Linked DNA regions of Oryzias latipes. The protein of the gene in region 2 interacts with the protein of the main gene of each other region in a pairwise test. Links are inferred from orthologs where the notes say so. Each region holds a gene or a part of one and is shown on either strand. Other genes may lie near its edges.

What was found. The genes of interacting proteins can lie anywhere in the genome.
Region 1: the proteins of prkaa2 (region 2) and ccnb1ip1 interact in binary tests that used the Homo sapiens proteins (3 or more experiments, as listed by UniProt). The two-hybrid records come from large-scale screens. The link is inferred for Oryzias latipes from reciprocal best matches to the Homo sapiens genes PRKAA2 and CCNB1IP1.
Region 3: the proteins of prkaa2 (region 2) and l3mbtl3 interact in binary tests that used the Homo sapiens proteins (3 or more experiments, as listed by UniProt). The two-hybrid records come from large-scale screens. The link is inferred for Oryzias latipes from reciprocal best matches to the Homo sapiens genes PRKAA2 and L3MBTL3.

What each region holds. Positions count from the first base shown.
Region 1 is NC_019876.2:17,647,539-17,651,632, forward strand, and holds the start of ccnb1ip1 (E3 ubiquitin-protein ligase CCNB1IP1), read right to left. Parts: upstream 2,839-4,094; 5' UTR 2,738-2,838; intron 960-2,737; 5' UTR 958-959; coding exon 655-957; intron 581-654; coding exon 259-580; intron 1-258. UniProt on the Homo sapiens protein: Ubiquitin E3 ligase that acts as a limiting factor for crossing-over during meiosis: required during zygonema to limit the colocalization of RNF212 with MutS-gamma-associated recombination sites and thereby establish early differentiation of crossover and non-crossover sites.
Region 2 is NC_019862.2:3,542,239-3,545,943, reverse strand, and holds the end of prkaa2 (5'-AMP-activated protein kinase catalytic subunit alpha-2), read right to left. Parts: intron 3,284-3,705; coding exon 3,033-3,283; 3' UTR 501-3,032; downstream 1-500. UniProt on the Homo sapiens protein: Catalytic subunit of AMP-activated protein kinase (AMPK), an energy sensor protein kinase that plays a key role in regulating cellular energy metabolism.
Region 3 is NC_019874.2:17,836,572-17,840,770, reverse strand, and holds the start of l3mbtl3 (lethal(3)malignant brain tumor-like protein 3), read right to left. Parts: upstream 2,839-4,199; 5' UTR 2,187-2,838; intron 783-2,186; 5' UTR 759-782; coding exon 648-758; intron 447-647; coding exon 251-446; intron 98-250; coding exon 1-97. Other genes in the region: transmembrane protein 244, read left to right, coding at 3,338-3,370, 3,678-3,763. UniProt on the Homo sapiens protein: Is a negative regulator of Notch target genes expression, required for RBPJ-mediated transcriptional repression. It recruits KDM1A to Notch-responsive elements and promotes KDM1A-mediated H3K4me demethylation.

The sequences.
Region 1 (4,094 bases), on a different chromosome or scaffold from region 2:
CGCTCTTTTAGGGGTTTTAACGCTGCTCTTGCTGTGACTATTTCCTGTTCTAAACATGGACTTAAAATTCAAAAAAATGATTTATCTTAATTACATTTTTTAAATAAATTCAGAAATTTTTTTATGCCCCTGAGTGATTATAACACAAGACACTTTCCAAGTCAGAAAAACATGCTGCAAGTTATTGATATCAATTAAGCTTTTTTCTTCATGTTTGCCTTAAAACGTGGCCCAAATGAGACAGGGACGTCCTCTTACCGTGGTTTAAGTCTTGATGTCCTGTTTGGGGCTGTGTGTCCCTCTCACCCACATCCACCACCATGTTCCGCAGCCTCAGGGAGTCGTACAGCCCCTGCAGTTTCTGGTACTGCCTGTTTCTCTCCATCAGCCTCTCGGACACCTCGCTGTACTTCCTCTTATACTCCTCCATCACTTTCTTCAGGGATGTGATCTCCCCTCTCATGGATGAGAGCTCCAGCTCTCTGCTCTGGTTCTGCTGGGTCAGGAGCTTGTCCATCTGCTTCAGCTGTCCTTCAGCGCGGGAGAGACTGTATTCTTGATACATGCGCTCCTGATGGACCTGTCAGGAAAAAATAAAAAAATAAAATCAAAGCTGTAAGACGCAGAGGGATACTAACTAAGTTAAAAAGTGACCTGGTAGCTCCAGAAGGCCAAGGCACGAGCACAGATGTCCAAAACTACGTCCGGCCGCAAACCGGCCAACACCATGGCTTTGTACTCCTCAGATGGAGAGAGCTCTGTCCTCACGATGTCCAGCTTGCCGGACAGCGCAGAGGAGCAGGCGGGGCAGGTGGCAGGGGAGCGGCTGAACTCGCCAGATCCATGCTGGTCGCAAAAGACGTGGGAGCACGCCGTGACCCAAGCGAAGCCGCTCAACTTGCTCCGACACTTGGGGAAGTTACACAGCAGTGTGTCGTCACAGAGAGACATGGCCATGACTGAAAGGTACAGCAATGGTTTCAGTAAAGAGACCCGTGCAAAGTGACAGCTGTTGACAGGAAATACTGACTGTGACCATTAAACAACAAATTCTTTGTGATAAAATCAGTCAAGGGGTATAAAAAGTAAAGGATTTTGTGTGTATAGAAAAGTTAATACTAGTCCTCTTTGCTACAGATAATTAAATATCAAACTAACAAGACTAGTTTCTTTTAAATATGGAGATTCTGAGAGAACAACTTAATAAAGCATCCTAATATTTGATTGTTTGCACCTCACCACTAAACAATCATTGTAGACACTCGTTCCCCATTTGAACGACAGCAAGCAGAAAAAGTTATTTTGTTTTTTAACCCGCCATGAGGTATAGGGCCAAAGTAAAGAAACCCCCCCTCCATTTATTTTTTTAAATAAATAAAATTGAGCTACAGGGTTTAAATAAAAAGTGTACCTTTAAAAATTACATTGGTTGAACCTGCCTAATTCTGTTTGAATTGGTCAGAAATTATTACCATATTGCATTAATTAATGAAAAAGAAAAAGAACAAATTTAGGTTTTAAGTTTGACCATTAACTTTTATAAATATGACATTTCCCCACAAACAACTGTATTAAAAAAAAATAAAGTTCCGGTCCATGTTGTCATTCTAACAACCCAAAAGTAAAGTCTGTCTCTGAATGTTTGATTGTCTAGCAGAGGTGTCACACTCATTTTCACTGAGGGCCACATCAGCATATGAGCTGTCCTCAAAGGGCCATATATGACTTATACATGTAACTAAATGTAATGAAAAATAAATGTAACTTCTCCTTGAGGTTAAATAACTTATTATTTATTGATTATACATTTTTAAACTGACAATTACAGTTACATTTAAAACATCCCTTGGCTTGTTACTCTAGCATGAATCCTTTTAAATTTTGTCTGGTTATTAAAATCCACATAACTCCAGTAATGATAAAGATATGATAAAGACAAAAAATAAAGAAAAATAACAAACTGAGCTAAAAATATTATGTATTAAGCATGTATAACATTTGACAAAAAAAGGCTGCACACAGCCTTGCATCCAACTGATGGTTTGATGACAATTTGTCTGCATACACACAAACATTGAATAATTACAACAGCAGCTACACATAAATAATATGTAATCGACAAAAAAAAAATATTTTAAGAAATTAAAATATTTTAATTGAGGCCTTGAGTTTGACACATGTGGTTTAAGGGATCAGTATTAAATTCCCTTCAAAAAGGTGTAATAATTTGGTTGATATTGTGTAAAATACTGTTGCATATACCAAATTTTAAGAAGGTTTTAATATGTTAATAAATATTAATGGGAATCGAAAATTTGCCTAATTAAATTTATATTGTTCTCATAACATTTGGATTTTTAAAGTGATGATTAGTATTGGATACCCTTATTATTCCAAATAAAATAAGCTTTTGTTGAAATGTGTGTTTTTAGACTAGTTTCTAGGCTAGTATGGCTTGTTTTTACAAATGTTAAAGTTTTGTGGGTTATTTTTCTTTTTTATTCCATGAGTCAGAAGGAAAGAAAGTTCAACTTGTTAATTTTTAAAAAGACGTCACTGGCTACAATTAGCTAGCTACCTAGCTAGCGAGTAAATAAATAAAGATTCAAAGCCCTCGTCTTATCTTTAAATATTCGATTAATAATGCGTAAATATAAGTTTAAAGTCACATATTTAAATATAGTAATATTTTATCACCGCAACTGTCTTTTTTTATTCGTCAAATAGATGTTCTTACCACTTCGTCCAGCTGCAGGTGTTAGCTAACAGGTGACGCTATTCTCGCTCGCGCTGTGATCCGATTGGCTGAAATTTTTCCTTAGACAGCCACAGTTGATGGATGCAGCTTAAATGTTAACATTTCTGTTAATTAACTAAAATGAATGGATACTCTAAAAGTTTGCTATTTTTAACATATAAAAAGTCCAAAGTATATTGTTCACAATAAACATTAGCTGAGGCAATAGCTTCACATTAGCACATCTTTAACATTTGTTTGTGTCTATATTTAGGTATATATATGAATGCATGCAATTATTTAAAAAAAAAAAAACTTGATTCGTGGAAAAATATTAGCTCTGACTTAAAAAACAGAGACACACTCTGATGAAAATTGTGTTTTGGGTGATTTTATCATGTTTGTTTCATGATGGAAAGAAAATTAATCTTAAAATTGCATTTCTGAGTATTTCTTTTTTCAAATCGTTGTGAATCAGGAGCAGACATAAAAGGCTGTTTGAAAAAGCTTGTAAGTGTGATGTACAAGTTAAGACGGCGAGTCACAAGCTCCCTGCTCCGCTGCATTCTGATGCATCCACTTGTAGACAAATATATTTGTGTTCGTCTTTGTTCTTCCCTCATCTGAGCTGGCATTTGGCTCAAAACTGCATGGCTGGCTTGCTCAAACACTGCTCGCCATCTTTGTAACACCTGTAATGTCAGATTGGGGATGTGCCGGCTGAAAGCCAGCGAGAGAGAGAGTGTAAACAACAACCCCACACACACACACACAACTCAGAGGGGAATTTCGAACGAACTACTGCTGCTCTGCAGAAACTATGTCCTAGAAAACGAGACAGGTTTTTTGTTTGGAGCTAAAAACTGCATAATCCCAGGTAAAAGTTCAGTGGGAACGCTCTGAAAATAAATAAAAAAGATGATCAGAGAGGGACTTAAAGTAAGGCAGTCAGAAGAAAAAATTAGGATATCACATATTTTCATTGTAGAGCGCATCGTTAATAGACATTTGCTGCTTTCTCACAAATGTAACGTGTCAAAATGTTGCTTAATTTATACATCATAATAATAATGCATGAATCCTGATCATGTCTGAGTCTTAAAAGTGTACTTAAAGTCAAGTTATAGTGGCATCCATCGATCCCTCCTCTAAACCTGCTTTATGGGGCAACAATCTTGATTAAGCAGAGGTGAAAGTTTCATCTTTGTTGGAATTTAACAATATAAAGCCATTACCTAAAACTATGAGCAAAGGGAAAACTGGGTCAAGAACACTCAATCAAATTTGGTTGAAGTCATTCAAATCCATGGATGAATTGTGTTCTGAAGCTGTTTTTCAGGTAAAAATAACATTTGTT
Region 2 (3,705 bases):
TCTTTATACAACCATGTAAACCGGAGAAGCAGAACTTTACAGGATCTGCTCAACAATAAAAAGACTAAACTTCTGTTCCAAACACTGTCCCACTGTCAAGGGTTAGAATCCTGAAGACCCGTCCTTGAGCTCCTGCCTGAAAACGGACAGAGTATCTTGTCAAGCCTGATCACAGTCAGCTTTATTTCTGCGCGTTCATTCTCTTCTTCCTTTCTTCGTCCTCCGTGAAACATTCAGCGTTATGCTATTTAAGTACACACTCCTTTTAATGCGTCAGGTTCATGTCATTATTTGTAACTGCATGGAAATAAGCTACACAGACTGTTATTTTGCACATCTGGATGTCTTCATACCAGGACCACCCTTTTAGGAATCCTTTTTCTGTCCCGGATTCCTTTGCTTTGCCAGGTTTCTCCATCATAGCCTGGTGAGGGCATCTGGGGTGTGTTCGCCTTCACCAGTGTGCGTTTGTGTTGACAAAAGCCTGAGAAGCAAAAGTGTTGTTTTTGTATCTTTGTCTTTATTGTCAATAAATACTCATTAAAGTGCAAATCATAACAGCAGGATCATGCAGCGCACGGCAAAACCAATCCAGAGTTCACGTCTGTGCACGTCCCCCAGGAGCCGCCGTGTACAGGGGGCAGACAGGGAGGGGTTAAAGGTCACGGCTATTCAGTTCCCCACTCACTTTGGTGTCGGATGTGGTTCTGCTCCAGACCAGCTTCCAGAACCAGCGTGCCGCTTGTGGCTGCGTAGCTGCTGTGTCTGACAGTAATCATGAAGCAGGCGTGCTTCCATGTTGGCAGAGGGATGGCTGCTCCGTGCACACACAGGCAGGTGTGCACGGACGTTGCATGTGTGCATGAGCAGAAAGGCAGCAGAGTCAGAGACGGAAACCCAGGAAGGTCGCAGCTTCAGCGGAGGCCTGACCGGCTGTGAAAAAGCCCTCGCTCCACTTGTGTTCAGCAGCAGAGAACAGGACAGCAGTGCTGCAACAAACCCTGCATGTTCACCCCATCAAAAGCAGGCCCCAGGACTTATTGCCTCTCACTTGCTCAGGGCTCCACTTTCATTTGCCAGAATAACCCAAAGAGAATGTTGAGATGCTGCAGCCGGAATCAGCAGCGCGACCTTTGAGGCCGGACTGACTCAAACAGAGAGGCTCTGAGCCGCTACACACTAAGTCTGAGATTAGAAGAAACATTTTGCAAAACTAAAGTGACACTGTCATTTGTATAAATGATCACAACAAAGCCCTTCAGTCAGCCACACAACCTAAACTAACAGGCACTGCAGCACATCCTCTGCCTCTGAGATGAGCGTTTGAGCGGAAACGGGACATCAGCGTGAACACAGACAACAGATGGAGTGTGATGCAGTGAAGAGCCAATCTGACCTGGAGACAGGTTTCGAAGTGCAGCCCGAGCGGAGGCGGAGCAGTCCTCTGACCCCGCTCTGCTTCATGGCCGACCCCTGCAGCCTCTCTTTAAGCTCCACGCGTCTACACTTCAACTTCAGCTCACCAAACATCAGTGAAGAAATCCAGGAAACACACGCACACACAATCAGGTCACACATTTCCACCTGCACAAATCAATGAGTTGCACTTTCTCAGGCAGCTGGAAAAAGGGGGTTGTGGCTTATCTCCTCCTGCAGGACATACACACCATTTCACCCAACCGTTGTCCTTCTGTGTCCACTATCTACACACTGGATAAGGGAGACAATAGGGTTCAGTGTGTTTCTGAACTATTTTTCATAATCTAAAGGCTACAGGTGCTGCGGGTTTTTGGGCTGTCCGGGCCCATGGAGGGTCGTAGAGAGGAGGGGCTGCATCTTAAGGGGAGCGCAGGTGTGTCTTGCAGTTCCCTTCAGGCTCGCGACGCCACCTTCAGGGATGTCATGAAAATGGAACGTACCATTGCCACGGGTGTGATAAGTCTATTGAACAGTAGTCGTAGTGATGATGTAAGTTCCACGTACTCATGACATGCGGGTGATGCTGTTGTACGATGACCTTACGCTACACTCTACTGTTTGTTGAGGTGTGATACGCTTAGATGTAGAAGTAATGTCACTTTGTCCTGGGGTAAAAAATCTGTGAGACACGCCTGCGTCTCACCTACCTCCCCTTCACCTTACCCTTACGTTTCGTATAATGGTTTCCTTGCAGAATGCTCGTAGAATAAATGTGCTTGAACATTTTTGCTCTTCGGGGTCACTGGGCGGGGTATGACCTTGATATTTCCTCCGTGCCCTGTACAGATTTACCCATTTTCCACCTGCAGAGAGCCCACATCCCCCCGTAGGAGCGGTGGCTAAAGGCTTTACTGTGCTAATCGAGCAGCACTTACAAACAGATGACGTGCTGCGTGTTAGTTAGTAACTGCTGCTGTTGTGTGAACAATCACGCCTGTGTCCCGACACCAGGGACTCACTGCAGCTCCTGAACAAACGAAAGGAAAAAACGTCGACAAGCTCTGCTGCTCCAGCTAACGCAGTCACGGCGATAATGCACCTTGTTTTGTTGTTTTTATCTACATTCTACCTTTAAATCAGATTGACCTTTGGTTTAATGAAATGTTTAAAGGACAAACTTTGTAATTTTTTTCAAAAATAAATAACCATTTGATACCTAAATAATTGCATTATTTGCGTGATGAATAAATGATGCTTGTGTGTCAACACTTTTAAAGCTTTCTAATAAGAAACATAACCAAAGCTTCTTTAGTAAAACCCCCGATGGAGTGGTGTTGCCGTGGACACCGCTGCAGGTTTTACCATCAGATGTTGTTTTTGACACGACACTGACCTGTTCCTTCACGCTTCTCTGCTTCAGTGACATCATGAGCAGAGTGGGATCTCAGGCTCTGTTTTCTCAGACCGAACAATAGTATTGACACAAAAAAATGACCGTTTGTCTCCCTCTTTCCTTTCTGCACGCTATACAAACACTACATTTAGTTCTCCACCTCCCAGATCGGCAGATACTTTCAACCCAACATTCTGCTGACAGCAAAGGTCAACACACCTCAGCGCGCAAGCGTGGTGATCAGACTGGCACACATTTCAAAGAAGTCCATGGTGTGCGATCCCTGCCGCGGGGAGAGGAGGGGGGAAATGCCGGACAGCGATCCCGGGAGGGAGGAGCTAAGCTGAGGCACATCGTTGGCTGGGCTTGCAAAGTCAATGCTCAGCCTGGGTCTGTGGAGACCTGCAGTGGAGCCGGACCTCTGAGGAGTGGACGACCCCGATTTAAAGCCCACTGCTTCCAGGATGTCATCTGAAGGTCACAACATAGAGGAGCATTTTATTAGGGACTTCCAAGCCTTCTGTAGTAATAATCCAAGCATTTTTAAATCAAACTATGAATCTGGCCTGTAAGTGACTAAATACAAACATCGCAGGAACTCTTTCCAACTTTTCAAAGCCACTTTTGCAAAGACCTTTAAAAGAAATCAGCTGCTCAGGATGTAATGAATCTGTGTCCTCTTTGCATCTTATCCTGTTCAAGACTTTCGCCAGATCAACAGTGGACCAAAAAAGTATTCAGTCAGCCCCCAATTGTGAAAGGTCTCCCACGTAAATAGATGAGAGAGTAATTTTCATCATAGGTAAACCTCAACTATGAGAGACAAAATGAGAAAAAAGAAATCCGGAAAATCACATTGTCTGATTTTTAAAGAACTTATTTGTAAATTATGC
Region 3 (4,199 bases), on a different chromosome or scaffold from region 2:
CTCAGCAGCTCTCCTTTAGGCCCTGTTTCTGCATTGGAACCAACGTCTGGACTGGGACCAACCTCCATGTTGGGGGCCTCCGTGCTGCCACCCTCCTCTAAAGACACAAACACATGACTAAACGCTGAAACACTGAGCAAATAAAAGGGGGATGCAGTGTCCAGAAATCACTATAGGGAAAAAAAGTGTATTCTACAAACTGAAAAGTGTAGTTCTTTATAAAAGTAATGTTTGACACAAGCTTTTATACCTCTAGTTTGAGTTGATCCTGTTTTATTCTGATTGGCTGGAGCTGTAGCTGAGCCTGTCTGTGATTGGGCCTCTGGTGGAGGGGTGGGAGTGTGAGATGGCGCAGGGTCCAAGGTCTCACTGTTAGACACGGCCTCCTGCCCTTTGACCTCCAGATCTGTGACAATCTCAAGAGTCCCAAACTCTGTCATGCGGAACTAAAGCACCAAGGGGGGAAAACAGCAACAGAAAAAACAGCTGATTGAATATAATGACCATTTTCTAGATAACATTGTATTTTGATTATTTCAATGGCCAAATTATCAAGATAATTCACTATATAAAACACCATGAGTTAAAATGATGACAATTTTTGTACAAAAAAAAAGACCAGAATGCAGAAAAAACCTGAACTGTACCCTTATGTCGCTGCCTGGCAGAGTGGCTATCCCATCTTTCCAGTCGAGGGCTCCCATCATGTCAAACTCAGCTCCCTGAGAGGCTCCATCACTGGGTGGAGTGTCAGTCATCCCCACTCCACTGATACGACCACCCTGTAACAAGAAACCACTGTGACAAAAGAAAGAAATGTGCAATGGAACCCAAATGCATAGAACCGATCAGCAGGACTAAGATGAAACATTTTATTGTGTTGTTAAAGTTGGACAGGGTTTTTAACACGAGAAAACAGCCGAAATCACCAAAAGCAGCTCCTCTCTGCACTTGTAAACAGCCTTACGCAACATCACCAATAGATGGCGACGGCGAGCCGGCTCGCCGGGTACACCATGCACTTCGATTTCAGACAAAAACAGTCAATAATAATGCAGTTTTACCGGCAAACTAAGGGGCAAATACGCGCACAAACGACCTCGTTGGGGTAAACCGTGACCAAGACCATTGACAAGCCCGGCGAAAAATGTCTCAACTTTAAATTAAACACACAAGTTCATCTTTTCCTTGTTTTAACAGTATCTCTTAAAGATGACTGTTTCCCGGGTGACGAGCAAGTAAGGCGGATATTTAGTCATCCATTTCACAGAGAACATTGTTTTCTGCACTCACTAGCCAAACTTAAAAACGTTTAAAGAAGTCTGTTATTCTGCAAAAACGTTTTAGTCTTGACGCATGTTCAACACCGAATTAAGGTGATATTTTTGGTTTGTGCCGCGGCAATAACCAGTGTTAAAGTGAACAACAATCCTAGCTTATGGATTGTTGGTCAAGTTTGGCTTCAAGCCGGAAACCTCAGTTTTATTCCAGCCATAAATAAAAGTGTCTCTAAGAGCGCCCATGATGATTAGCATTCGTCTTATACAAAATGGCGGAGCATTGGAAGAGGCCACCAACACGTTCAAACTATGTTAATTACTCAAGTTACCGGTTTAAACAAATATCGCAAAGCTGTAGTGCGTCAAATAAATGCAGACGTTTTCCGTGTAATTCCCAAGATGGTGTTTTTATTCACTCTGCTCATTTTTCTTCACTTTCCCCTTGTCACGGAATGTCAACCCAGCTTGCTACAGCAGCTAGTGCTGCAGCTAACAGTTAGCTAGCCCCCTCCTCCCTTCAGATGAACGGGTAACTGCTACACGGCTAGCCCTAGCATTGTGACTGTAAGCAGCCAGCTAAGGACGATCCGTAATAAATAAGTTTCCCACTTAATAACACCGGGAAAACGCCTTTGCGAAACGCAGATCTCAAACAAAATATTAAATGCACTCAAACAATAAGATCGTGCCACTGTTATAAGCTTAAACATTGTTGCTTGATTTATTTCTTCAATAGAAACTTGAAAAAAGAAACGATTTATTCTCGCCGTTTTGAATCAGAGTGGAAATAACGCAAACTAATGTTATTTATCAAACTAAACTCCGTTTTCCCCCTAAATTTAGCCCACGTTCGCGTCAATAAATAATATTTAAGGCCCGCAATGTTTTGAAAATTGTGGAACTCACCTCGTTTCTGTTTTAACTCTTATTTAGAGCTGGATAGACGATGCGCATGCGTGCAAGATGCGCTGCCTGACAACTTTGGGTCTCGGAAAAGTTCAATTTACTTTTAGTGGTCAATAGCAGGCACGCGTGCGCAAAGCACGCGCCCAAACCCCAGTTCGGTACCAGTATAATAATACTCCCAGCAGGATACGGGGGGTTCCTCTTTCCCCTTCCCACCCCGAACACGAACAGTCTATGAAGTCACCAAGAACTAGGAGTATCATAAAGCGCAGGACCGCAGCGCTCCATTAACCGTCGAGAAGCGTCTAGTTCCTCTGTGTTCAAACAGTTTACGTGCCCATTTGAACCACGTTACTCTCTGGCAGTACAGTCCGTGCTAATGCGCTCCGATTAGCCAAGTCTCCGTGTCGTATTCGAGCTAACATGCGCTAATGTGCGCAAAAATAGCGAAAGGACTACTTGAAAAAAGTCAAATGCATCACGGGACGGTGCACCGGTGCTCTTTAGTAACACTGTCGTTTCTGGCCGCAGTCTACGGCTATAAAAACGGACTTAAACATCCCATCCTCCTGTTTGTACAAGTACCGAACCTGACAAAGTAATGCACCAAACTAACCCCGGATATTAACAGAATGTTTGATTTAAAAGCCGCTATCACAACATTTCTATCATTGAATGCAGATTTAGTGATTTTAACTTGAAAAGCTCGATTTGCGCGGTGCGGTTTTGTTTGTATATTTTCAGTTTAAAAGTCCTGGTACTACTAAGACTTATTTATCCCGTGTTAGTACTAAATATTGAGCGGCTAACCCAGATTGTTTTGGCGTTTCTATTACCTTCTTTTTCATTTAGTAGGCAGCATTTTTACCCAAACTAATATTTCACCTACATTTTTGAGACGCCATTATATTAAATGAATATAAATCTGCACACCAAAAATACAGCTCTTGTTTTGTTAACAAAGGTCGCTCTGACACGAAATGAAATGAGTTCAGCTCGACCATAATAGCGGCGTGTAGCGGCGCCGCCTCTTGTCTCCTCTCTGCCGCTAGATGGCGCGCCGAGTCCAGTTTGTGAAGGATTAGCGGCGTCTGCTGCAGTCTGCATTTCTGCAATATTTTTCCAGTATAGCGTCAAGTGCAAATCATGAGATGGCATTCAAAGGCAAAGCGGTCGATTCAAAGGTAAGAGGAGGGCATCGCCGTGCTGTGCTGCGAGGCTGGAACACTTAAAATTATGTTTTTCGATTCTGTCTGTCGAGTGACAATAATGTATGTCAGATACTAACAAATTATATGACACAGTTGTGTTATGTGTTTATTATAACGCCAGGTTTACTTGTGTTATAGGCGCTGTTAGTGAAGCGAAGTCAGTCTGCTTTAACACTATGTTCTCTATTACAAACCGGCAGGTTTCTCACACCCAGGACGTGAAATTACATGCTTGACATCTTAGACTGAATAAATGACCATCTCGTGTGTTGTCTTGCAGACCGTGCTGCTCAATCTCCTGCTCTGCCTGCTGATATTTTATTCTCTTTTCTATATGATCGGGAGCGTGTGCTTCGGCGCGTTCAGGTGAGCACACGCGCATGCGCACTGCTGCTACACAGAGGAGAGCAAGTGAAATTGTGTTTTTTGGTGTTCAAAACTGCATTTCTGGGTATTTCTTTGTTCAAATCATTGTAAGCAGGAGCAGATGAAAAAATGCAGTTTTAAAAAACACGTAGCAGTGAAGTAGGTGCTTAAGTCGGGGGGCACAAATTCCATGCTCTGTTCCGTTCTGATGCATCCAATTGCAGACAAATAGATCACATTTTTTTGTTGCACTGCCAATGTTAAGTTGGGGTTGTGAGGGGCTGTAAGCTAGCAGGACAGAGTGTAAACAAATGGATGTTGGGAAACGAGGACAGGCTTTCTCAGCACCAACAGTCCTGCCTAGAACTCAGCGGTGAATGCTGCTCTGCAGAAACTATGTCCTAGAAAGCAACACACTTTTTTGTTGTTGCTAAAA